Drosophila melanogaster: one gene and its partners. Changing the gene in region 3 together with the main gene of any one other region gives a genetic interaction. Each region holds a gene or a part of one and is shown on either strand. Other genes may lie near its edges.

Region 1 (3,759 bases), on a different chromosome or scaffold from region 3:
CCATGGAGAAATAGTATGTTTTTAACTCCCGAATATATATATAGTATATAGTGACGTAATTAAATAATTAGAATTGTCCACAAAAAAAAAAGATCAATATCCCAAGCGGGCAATCTCGCACCGGAAATAATATAAACAAATGGGCAATATGTGACATATTCACATAATCAGCACTTTCAGAAGAAATACAGAGTGGCGATTCCACGCCATGTACGCTAGCTGTATACAATAAATATCTTAAGCGGGCGATCCCGCTCCAGAAATAATGTAAACATAGGCAGTATAAGAAAGATTTTTGTCACTAACATATAGTCTTAAGCTGAGATCAAAAGAATAAAGACGTGAAAACCATCTCTATGATAATTTTTTATTTCTTAGCGTTGACCTTAGTCAACTGAAATTAGTTAGACTCAAATATATAACAATTATTTTACTGTATGCATGTATGCATATAGTAATGCATATTAGTTTACTTTTCCATGAAAATGCATTAATTATATATGTAATTGTATTTGTTGTATAGAAGCAATTACTGGACCACCGGCGGATGAAAAGGTGGACGACAATACGCAGCCTCTTTATTGAAGCAATATTAAAAAAGAAAATAATAAATTTAATAGATGAATTCTTTTTTGTTTTTATTTAAAACGTCGATGTTTTTTCAACATATTTCGCCAAAAACATCGATGTCCGCCATCATCGATATTTCTCAATCTCTATTAACAGAGTCAAATCAAAGACATTAGAATAACATGATTGGTAACGACCATACGTTGGTTTAGCACAATGCAGTCACTTTTTTGGTGACGGTCAATATTGACATTCTCTGGTAATCGAATTCGTAAGAATTTTACTTTTGTCTGGGCGAAATTAAAAGTAAATGCCTGTTATACATACATATATCTATCAAATCAGATCTTATTAACTAAGGAAAAAATATTTTATTCAGTGGTCTATCGATGTTAATTCCAAATCACCACAAGATCATTCTGCCAATGCGTTATTATACAAAAAATGTATTTCCGACCCCACCTCAGATTTGACAAACAACATTTTGCCGTCAGCAACAAATATTTTCGATTTAGCAAGGGGATTAGCAAAGGAGAAGTACGTTCCCAATATTTATTGCGAAGGCTGCCATACTGTTGGTAAAACGAAACAGGCAGGTAAAAATACTTATAAAATATAAAAGAATTCATTAATGAATTTCAGGAATGGCCAAAAGAGTTGTATGTATTTAATTAAATGTATTTTTATTACTTAAATGTCAAAGTGCAATAACAAAGTAATTGCGAACGTCGGACTTAAAACTGTAAAAAAAGGTGTCCGCTCTATGGTCTGGAAAACAGCTTGAACAGCTGTTTAATGTTTACAAAACATTCCGATAGCAAAAATTTTGCGAAAACCAAAACAGCTAAAAACGAAATCAAAAGATTTTGCCCAAATCGAAATAAAAAATAAAAATTACAGGAGCATGATTGACTATAAATTATCGCTGTGCATGCTTGGCATCTCTTACATCAGCACAAAACACAAGGATTGGCAGAATTGGCGCTTTTTCAAATCTACAGCAGAACACAAGATCAGTAGAGATGTTGAACCATCGGTGCCTGATCCCACGCAGTAGAAACTTTCCCCTTTCGTTTAACAGTTGCCTCTTTTAAATCTGTTCCAGTCTCATGTTAAGCTTTGTTAACGATGGGAAATTGGTTATAGCATGATTGCACTCGTTTTCCGAAATGAGGATGATTCCATTTCCACATTTTCGAAATGTATTTGTGGACCGTATCATATGAACTTTATTTATCACTAAAACTAATAGAAAAATATACACATTCTTTGATAGGATTTTCTTTAAGCATATGAAAAATTTAATTCATATCGGTTTACAAATTTGTAGTATTATTTAATTTTATGTTTTGCATGTATATTTCAAGCTATACCGATATAATTACAGAGATTACAGCCAGCTTGTTCTATATTTAGAAGCTAGTCGACGTGGAATCAAGATATATTTTGCGTTGTAAAAAAATACTAAAGTTTAGTATGTTGCAAAAAACCCAAATATTTAGGCATCGAATACCCATGCCAAACAAGCAGAATAACCTTTTCAATATTTTGAGTCATTTGGTATCGCGTTTTATAAAAATTACTTGAATTCTTTTGTTTTCCTCGGCTTTTAGTGAAACAATTCGACTATCATTAAATTTATGTGGCGTTTAATTAATCTTTCGTATTATTTCAATCAGAATTTTTTTAACATATTCACTACATTTTCTTAGAGAACCGTTTGTCATATTTAATGTATATTATGTTCCCTACTTAAATATGACAATTATTAATTCTGTGTGTGTACGTATCAATCATCCGTGATATTATATTCATGTCTTATATTGCCTACATATGGAATAATGGCAGTAAAAATGCTGTTCTTTCAGATACATCAAATAGCCTCAGGGAATGCAACGCTCAGGAAACATACAAATCTTACCTAACACATGTGCCTACAATTATCCTGGCATTTGAAATGCTTTAATACTAACTTTAAACTCATGCGTATGTGGATTATAGTATTGTAAATATGGCATACGAACGTTTTGGAATTATTCTTCAAAGTGAACAGTACGATGAAGATATAGGCAACACAAAAGTCAATCAGAAAATGAATGAAGGTAAGTTCGGATTTTACAGGCATGTCTATGTTTTGAAAATCGAATTATAGCAACAAAGCACTTTTTTATAAAGCGTAACAACAAAATACTGTTTAATGAAGCATAAAATATAAACATATTTACTTGTTATACCCGTTAGTCCTAGAGTAAAAGGGTATACTAGATTCGTTGAAAAGTATGTAGAAGGAATCGACCACAGTATTCTTACTCATGATCACTAGCGCCAAGTCGATCTGCCCGTATAAACGTTGAGATCTCGGGAACTAAATAAAAGATGTGAAAGTTAAGATAAAGCATGCACATTCTAGAGAAAATTACCACTTCTACTCCAACGCCCACAAACCTTCAAAAACTGTCAAAACTAAAATTTTAATATTGTTTAAGCCGCCATACTAACATTTTTAAGCCAAGCCCAGATCGTTAATGTCAGCTTTTAAGCGCCTTGGCATCGAAGAAATGAAGTATCATCAGATTGTTCAGTAATATGTTAGGTTAAGGTTTTTCCAAAGGAGGCAAGACTCGGAAGACTATCACTCAAAACACAGTGTTGACGGGTGTGAGGCTAATCCTCATCTCTCGTGAGTTACCTGTAATGGCGGAGACGCCGGGTACCCATGTAAGCGTTAGTTTGGGTGTGCTGTAGACGTTCAAGTTCAATAATGGTGTTGCTCACAGGCACGCTCTTGCTAGTGTTCGCTTGAAATGTTAATATGCCGCATGACTGTCCACAATCAAAGCTGTTATTCTGATTCCCATCTGACTCACATCGTTCTTTAATTGCTAAACTGCAGAGTCCTTATACCCTTGTGAGCGTTAGTTTAGTGTGCCGTAGATCTCCCAGTTCCATGATGGTGTTGCGCACAAGACCCGTTACCTTTTCGCTTTTGGCTTAAAGATTTAAAGAATATTATATGGATATGTACGGATTTGCGGATATCCTAATGTGCTTTTGAAGACATAGAATTTTAATTTAAAGTATTTTTAATTAGCTGCGCAAATAATTTTGTATAGAGAATATAGTAGCTAATTTGGTTGAAAATTTATCACGCTATATAAGTATTCTTAAACTCGCAAAGTAAAAGGGGTT
Region 2 (3,759 bases), on a different chromosome or scaffold from region 3:
CGATGCGGCATGGGCAACAACAAAACAGAGAGCGAAACGCTACAAAGAGAGCTTGAGACACCTGCATGGCCAAGTCATTGTTGTTGCCATGCTGATTAGCGGTATGTGGTGGGAGGGGAGTCCCTGGAAAGGTAAATAAACAATATGGCGGCGTAGGCTTACCTTGGTCCAGCAAATCAAGCGATTGGTATCGGCATCGTCCACCAGGCGCCACAATTTGGCCAAAAAGGCCGGCACCCCGCTTCCGATGGCCGCGGCGTCTCCGTAAGAGTGCATTCTCCTGGAAGGCAGCTGCTCCTCCTCGTCTTCTTCCTCTTCCTCCGATTCGTGCTTGAACTGCACGGCTTTAGCGGATGAACGCGACCTGGACATAAAGTGACCAGCAGCCTGGAAAGGAGTACTACTCAATGAATTCACTGCACACCAACACCAACACAAACGCTTTTTTTCCAGTTTACAGTTCACTTTTCCACGCCGCTGTATGTGTGTGTGTTTAAGTGTGTGTATGGGTGCGGGAATCAGTGTGCGTGTCCAGGTACACCATACATATGTAAAATGTACATATGGGTACAATTTTGATGTGAAAGTTGCAGCTCTGATCGAATCGAATGTTTTCGGTTGCAGCCAAGTGCGTCATTCGAGCCACCAACTTGCACAAATGGAGCTCCAGTTCTTCTTCTCCTGCTCAACCTACTTACCTTAACAATTTTGCAGCTCACAAACCTTTCGCGAAGTGAAAAACTCGCGTTTTACTTGTTTAGTTTAGTTATTACACTTCACTTTCTTGGCGTACCGCTTTTGTTTTACACAGTTCTTCGGTTTTTAAGTGCTTTTTCGCGTTTTATTCACAAGTGAAAATTTAATGAAACCTCCGTCAAGTAAAATTGCTTCTGTTCGCAGCGTGACCAATTTGGTAAAAACCTATCGAACTAAAGTTCGCTGCTATATATACCATTGCTAGCTGTCTGCTTGGTCCTCTGGTTTTTATCTAGTATTTTCTGGCGCGCAACTTCGTATTCATATAATTGACCCCAATTACTAGATGATCATTATACTAAAAACTTATCAAATTCTGTTATTTGTTTTTAAAGCTAGTATTGATATGTGTACCCATAACATTAATTGATAGGCAACTGTCGATTTTAATACGGCAGACCAAAGGATAGGGATTTTAGTATTTGGTATTTTCTATTTGATATCTTTAAGATAATTATGAGTTAAAATTAAAATTAGTTGGTTTGATTTTAGATAAGTTGTACATAAAAGCATACAAAGGGCATACTTACTAAAAAAATTAACATTCATTTTGAAATTTCTATAGGATTTACTTTGACAATCAAAAAGTTTTACCTTAATATAAATGTTAGTTTTATTTTTTTTAATTTGATTTAATAATTGTCACTCTACATTTAAAATGTAAATTATGTATGATATTAACGTTTTTGAATCTTTAGGAAATATTTAAATGTATTTTCTAGTATTTTCCAGGACGAGACCGCTGAGTCTTTGCCGGCACAGTGGGGATAATTAAGTAAATTTATGGTATATTTTATACGTTTCGATATATTTAAAAATATAAAAATGTAAAATTGTGGTGACAAATTTCCAATATTTCTTTATTTATTTTAATCAAGTTAATTTTATTACCATAACATACATAAGTTGTGGTAGATTTATATATGAAAATGTAACGAAAAGAACAATTGTTGGATGCGGTCACACTGGTGGGCATATGTTGAAAAATGGCTGACACAAATTAATTTTCAAGTGATTTGTTTTGTGCATTTTCGCTGGTGTTAAAGATGAACTTGGGACAACGACGTTCAAAGCCGATAGCCGAATCAATAAGAGCAAAATGCTAATTTAATGCACGATTCGAAACACACTTAAAGGTGGGTAAATCGGCAACCGAAACTAGAAGTGCCTGTGGTGCGTGTGGAAAAGTACGAATGAGGAAGACACAGAGAATACAAAAGGGCCCGCTCTCCAGTCCGTATGTGTAGCAAAAGTGTGCATGTATGTGTCGGCGGGCAACAACAAATTCGACGAAAAAGGCGCCAGATTAATGAGCTCGTGTTAATCAGCGGGAAACAATCGCAAAATCAATGAAAAAACGGGCCGCGAAAAGCCGGCAAATCGAACTGAAGATCCATATTTTTCACAAAAGACTGCGCACTGGAAAAATCAACGCATCTAGCACGCACACACAGCCGCAATGATGAACAACCATTTTCACTTGCAACACGATCATCCACCGCAGAACGTGGCACATCCGTTCATGCAACAGCCGAGTACCGCTGTCCCATCAGCTCCTCCGGCCACCTACGGCTACTTAGCACAGCCAGCTGGCCAGCAGCCGCAGTGGATGACGACCACCTACCAGATCCTGCCGCCCAGCGTAGGACCTGCCACGGTGGCCAAGCGATACTATGCCACCACTGGGCCGCAGACCACGCATCCCACACATCCCAGCACCATCCAGATCACGAACAGTTTCGCTCAGCAATCAACGCCACCGAAGCAACAGGCGGCAACAAGCTGCAGCCCATTCAAGGCCAACAACATACGAATCATCTCGACGGCGCCAAGTGTATACAGTCTGAATAAGCCGCCACAGGAAGCGCACTCCACATATGCTCCCGTTCAGTCGTACTACTTGCCCAGTGGCGGTGGCCAAACTGCGGGACAAATCAATCTACTGGCGGCCAGCGGAACTGGCAAGCAACTGCAGCCGCCGCCGCTGGTGCCTGTGACCAATTCCACCTCACCGCCCTCCACCGTCGTGTTAGACCGCATAAACATTTGCATCAATAACCACTATACGGAGACGCCCACTTCGCTAAGTTCATCGCTTACCACGGCCCAACAACCTTCGCCCATCATACCGGCCATCCAGCACAAGGCCATCCTGCCCCTCATCGACAGCAGCACGGCGGATAGCAGCAGCTGCAGCAGCAGTTCTGTATCCAGCAGCAGTTATAGTGGTACCGCGACCACCTCAGCAGCAGTTGTGATTGTGGATGAGCCGGATTCTACGACCACAACGCCACAGACACCGCCAACTACGCCGGAGGCCATGAGTTCACCCGGTAAAAGTTCGCCCTCGCCTCCGCTACTAGCCACGCAATCGCTGCTCAAAGGCGTCAACTCAATGAAGCCAAGCTTCAAGACCGTCGAAGCAGCACCGCCAACGCCGCCAACACCTCCATCACCACCACCACCGCCGCCGGCACCACCAGTTGCCGCTCCCTCGCCAGCGGTCACGTATGCGCTTCAGGAGGACGTCTTCATCAAATGCAACGATGGCAGATTTTACCTGGGCACCATTATTGACCAGACAAGCGATCAATATCTTATCCGCTTTGATGACCAGTCGGAGCAATGGTGTGAACCGGATAAGCTGCGCAAGCTAGGTGGCGGTAGCTCGATTACCGCTGGCGGAGGCGGTGCCTCTACCACGGAATCCACGAATACCTCCCCCAGTGGACCCATGTGCGTGGCCTGCAAGCGATCGGATATCGAAGATGTGGTCGAAATTTGCGAGCGCTGCGGACGTGGCTACCATCGTGGTTGCACCGTTGAAATTGTTACTGGCAGTGGAATTTGGAGTTGCAAACGCTGCGCTAAACCCATGAAAATGCAACAGCCTGTCAGCCATAAGATCACAAAACCAGCGGGAATTTGTCGCCAGTTGCCCTACCATGTGAGTATTCTACGAACCCAAGCCAGCGGATTAGATTCTTAATCCGGTTTTACCCA
Region 3 (3,759 bases):
AGATGAAAGTGGGCGCCGGCTGAGGTTGGTATGAGGGGAGGGGGGGCGTGGCCCTTAGAAAGGGGGACCAAAGCAATGAACTAGAAAGCTGTCTGATTAGCGTGCAGCTAGCAAAAGTTTCTCCACTCACACACACACAAACACATACACAGATTTATTGAGCCCGCTGTCCGCGTCAATAATTTGCATGGGTTAAACGTACAGAGGCAAGAAAATCTGGGGGTTAAGTCAACCCAGACCAACCCCCCCAACCCCCCACCAGACCGCACTTCCTGTGACAATGGCTGGGGACTTACCTTTGCCGATATATATATATATATATATATATATACATATGTATGTAGGTGTGACTGTGCGGAGAGAGTATAAAAGTGTGTGTTGAAAAAAACTTTCTACGCCTCAGTTCAAGTTACTTCCTTTTCGCTTTTCAATACGGTGTTATTGCATTGCATTGTGGAATAGCAAACCAATTTAAAGAATCCCAAAGGTAGGGCAAAAAAAAATGTTCAATTGCAGGGCTAATAAGCAAAAATCAAGTTAAGGCCACTCTAAAAAAAATGAACTGCATACTTATACGTATGCAATTAACTTTATTATTGATTTAGAGCGCATAAAAACGGCAAACTAATTAATTACAGCATTCCCTTAGAGCATTTCATAATCGGTTTTAAGCACTTTTTGTTGTAATGCCATTTTTCAGCTCTTTCGCTGCTGCGACAGGCGAGTGACAATAAATTGTTAAGTGCAAAAAGTTTACAGCATTTGAGTGAGTTAGTAATGGCAAACACACACGAACACGAACTTCAAGACGGTCTAAACCCGATTCGAGCTCCACTCAACCAACATCGAAGAAGCCCCATAAGTGTCACTGAGCGAAAAACTCGGTTAGTTGGCAAAAATGAGTGAAACATTGACGTTTCTTTGTTGTCTGTCGCTAGATCGGCCCACAAAGGAAGTCTCTTACGAATCGTACATACATCTAACTTTGAGTCAGCTAAAGATCTTCAGTGAAATAGGAAAATCATTTATTTCGAACTTTGAAGCTGTTGTAGAGCAGAACATATATGCATTAAAACTGGCACATGAAATAATGTTACTAGTGCTGAGTGAGACTTCTACAAATATCACATGCATATGCATAATTAACTTGCAAATCGAATCAAAAGCTATTATTCTGAGCTAAACTCTCAAAAGAAAACCATATTCATTTGAAGACCACTTAATCGTCGTCAGCAAATTAATTCCTGCAGATTCCTCGGCAACTGCAACTGCTAACCTGTTACCACATCGTCCGTGAAAATGGTATTGATAGCCTCCCGGAAAACCCGTCCCAGTCGAGATCCATATCCTGGACCAACTGGCCCCGATGATGAAGATTGATAATGCCCGGACAGCTGATGGCGGCAGTTCATGATTCCGGGGCCTGAGATGAGGTGCTAACGATGACGACAACGACCGGAGTGTCCGAAGTACGGGTGCGGATAGGCGTACGGGAAACGGGGAGTGCGGAATGCGCATCATCAACAGTCGCCGTTTGATAAATCATGCATGCAAAGTACAGTGCAAACCCCCGAAACGGGACGACAACAGGCGGATTAACAAGAACTCTCTTATTCACGATAAGAAGACGCTTCCCACTCAACCTAATCAGTATTCAAAGACAGCCACTCAGCTTATGAGTACTGCCCAGGTGGGGTACTATCATATTGGTGCAAAGGTGGTCGAATTTTTAATTATTTTGAACGGAACACATTAGCTAAACATAAACATGTTGTCACTAGTATGTATGTAAGTTAATAAAACCCATTTTTGCGGAAAGTAGATAAAAAAAACATTTTTTTTTTTTACTGCACTGGATATCATTGAACTTATCTGATCAGTTTTAAATTTACTTCGATCCAAGGGTATTTGATGTACCAGGTTCTTTCGATTACCTCTCACTCAAAATGACATTCCACTCAAAGTCAGCGCTGTTTGCCTCCTTCTCTGTCCACAGAAATATCGCCGTCTCTTTCGCCGCTGCGTCCGCTATCTCTTTCGCCACCGTTTGTAGCGTTACGTAGCGTCAATGTCCGCCTTCAGTTGCATTTTGTCAGCGGTTTCGTGACGAAGCTCCAAGCGGTTTACGCCATCAATTAAACACAAAGTGCTGTGCCAAAACTCCTCTCGCTTCTTATTTTTGTTTGTTTTTTGAGTGATTGGGGTGGTGATTGGTTTTGGGTGGGTAAGCAGGGGAAAGTGTGAAAAATCCCGGCAATGGGCCAAGAGGATCAGGAGCTATTAATTCGCGGAGGCAGCAAACACCCATCTGCCGAGCATCTGAACAATGTGAGTAGTACATGTGCATACATCTTAAGTTCACTTGATCTATAGGAACTGCGATTGCAACATCAAATTGTCTGCGGCGTGAGAACTGCGACCCACAAAAATCCCAAACCGCAATTGCACAAACAAATAGTGACACGAAACAGATTATTCTGGTAGCTGTTCTCGCTATATAAGACAATTTTTGAGATCATATCATGATCAAGACATCTAAAGGCATTCATTTTCGACTATATTCTTTTTTACAAAAAATATAACAACCAGATATTTTAAGCTTACCATGAAGTCCTCATTTCTTCCACCTTTCATTCTCAAATATTTTCTTGCTACACTACACTACACTACACTACATTATACATCGACCCCAAATAGTTGGATGTAGTAGATCGTAATTAGGGACGCATAACCAGTGGTGGCGTGGGAGGAGTCGGCTTAAGTTGGCCAACAACATTGCTGGGTGTCTATAACTCTAGGCTTGCCAAGATACTAGATACTGTATCCGTATCCATTTCTGGTTGTGTACTCGCATCTTCTACCTGATCTTAATACCTCGTTGTTTGCACGTCTCGCTCGACGAAAAATGTACAATCTAGTCTTATCTGGGTCATTATTTGGCTAGACGAATGCTTTGGGCTCAGCATCTGATATCTAGGTATCTTCGTGCGTATCTTGCTTTAAATTCTTAGCACCTCGGCTTGTATAACAAAATAAATAAGTGAGTACGATTTGCATATCTAGCCCCGGGCTCTTTGAAACAATTTTGAAAAGTCTCAAAAAGTTATACAAGGAGATAAGAACTTTAATTCTTTTGGGAAGTAAGTAACGCAGTAAAGGTAACAAAGTATTGAAAAATATGATATGTATGGAATATTTGAAGCCATCTTTAATTATATGTTCGTTGCATATATGTACATATTGGGCCGTTTACGCTCTGATATTTCCTTAATAATATCGAGTGGTCGTCAGCTTTTCCGCTGAATAATTGCGCCTCCTTCAGTATTTCGTTCTCATCAAAGTGAATGACTTTTGAGTGCACTCATTAGCCACTCGCACAATCGACAAAACGGGAGGAACAACAAATTGAGTCGCTTCTTTATTCAGTCATTTCAATTTGTCAAGTTCATCACGATACTCCTTCGCCTCCCTGCACAGCGCCATCTAGCGCCCACTCCTCGAGTTTCCTTCGTATTTCGTAAGTAATTCAAAAATAGCACGCAAAGTAAATAAAAAAAAAAGTAAGCCAAAAAATTAAATAAATATGAAATGTAGCATCTTTCGCTACTTATTTCAACAAAATACGAAAATAGGGAAAAGGTGGGAGAGTAAACCAGAGGAGGCAGGGAGATAAGAAAACCCAGTGGGAAAGGGACGGCGAAAACAGAAAAGAAAAGAAAACTTTTTAATAACATTTTTCGGCCTCATTTGTTGTGAAAA

What was found.
Region 1: of w (region 3) and pho, changing one suppresses a phenotype caused by changing the other (phenotypic suppression), as found in Drosophila melanogaster (7 studies listed by BioGRID).
Region 2: of w (region 3) and Pcl, changing one suppresses a phenotype caused by changing the other (phenotypic suppression), as found in Drosophila melanogaster (4 studies listed by BioGRID).

The regions. Positions count from the first base shown.
Region 1 is NC_004353.4:1,179,961-1,183,719, reverse strand, and holds the start of pho (pleiohomeotic), read left to right. Parts: upstream 1-2,091; 5' UTR 2,092-2,130; exon of another isoform or gene 2,131-2,352; intron 2,353-2,438; 5' UTR 2,439-2,581; coding exon 2,582-2,672; intron 2,673-3,759. UniProt on the Drosophila melanogaster protein: Polycomb group (PcG) protein that binds to the 5'-CNGCCATNNNNG-3' sequence found in the regulatory regions of many genes.
Region 2 is NT_033778.4:18,133,709-18,137,467, forward strand, and holds the start of Pcl (polycomblike), read left to right. Parts: upstream 1-1,717; 5' UTR 1,718-2,215; coding exon 2,216-3,703; intron 3,704-3,759. Other genes in the region: Hsf (heat shock factor), read right to left, coding at 163-372. UniProt on the Drosophila melanogaster protein: Polycomb group (PcG) protein.
Region 3 is NC_004354.4:2,794,806-2,798,564, reverse strand, and holds the start of w (white), read left to right. Parts: upstream 1-2,098; 5' UTR 2,099-2,256; coding exon 2,257-2,328; intron 2,329-3,759. UniProt on the Drosophila melanogaster protein: ATP-dependent transporter of the ATP-binding cassette (ABC) family which transports various molecules including bioamines, neurotransmitters, metabolic intermediates and second messengers.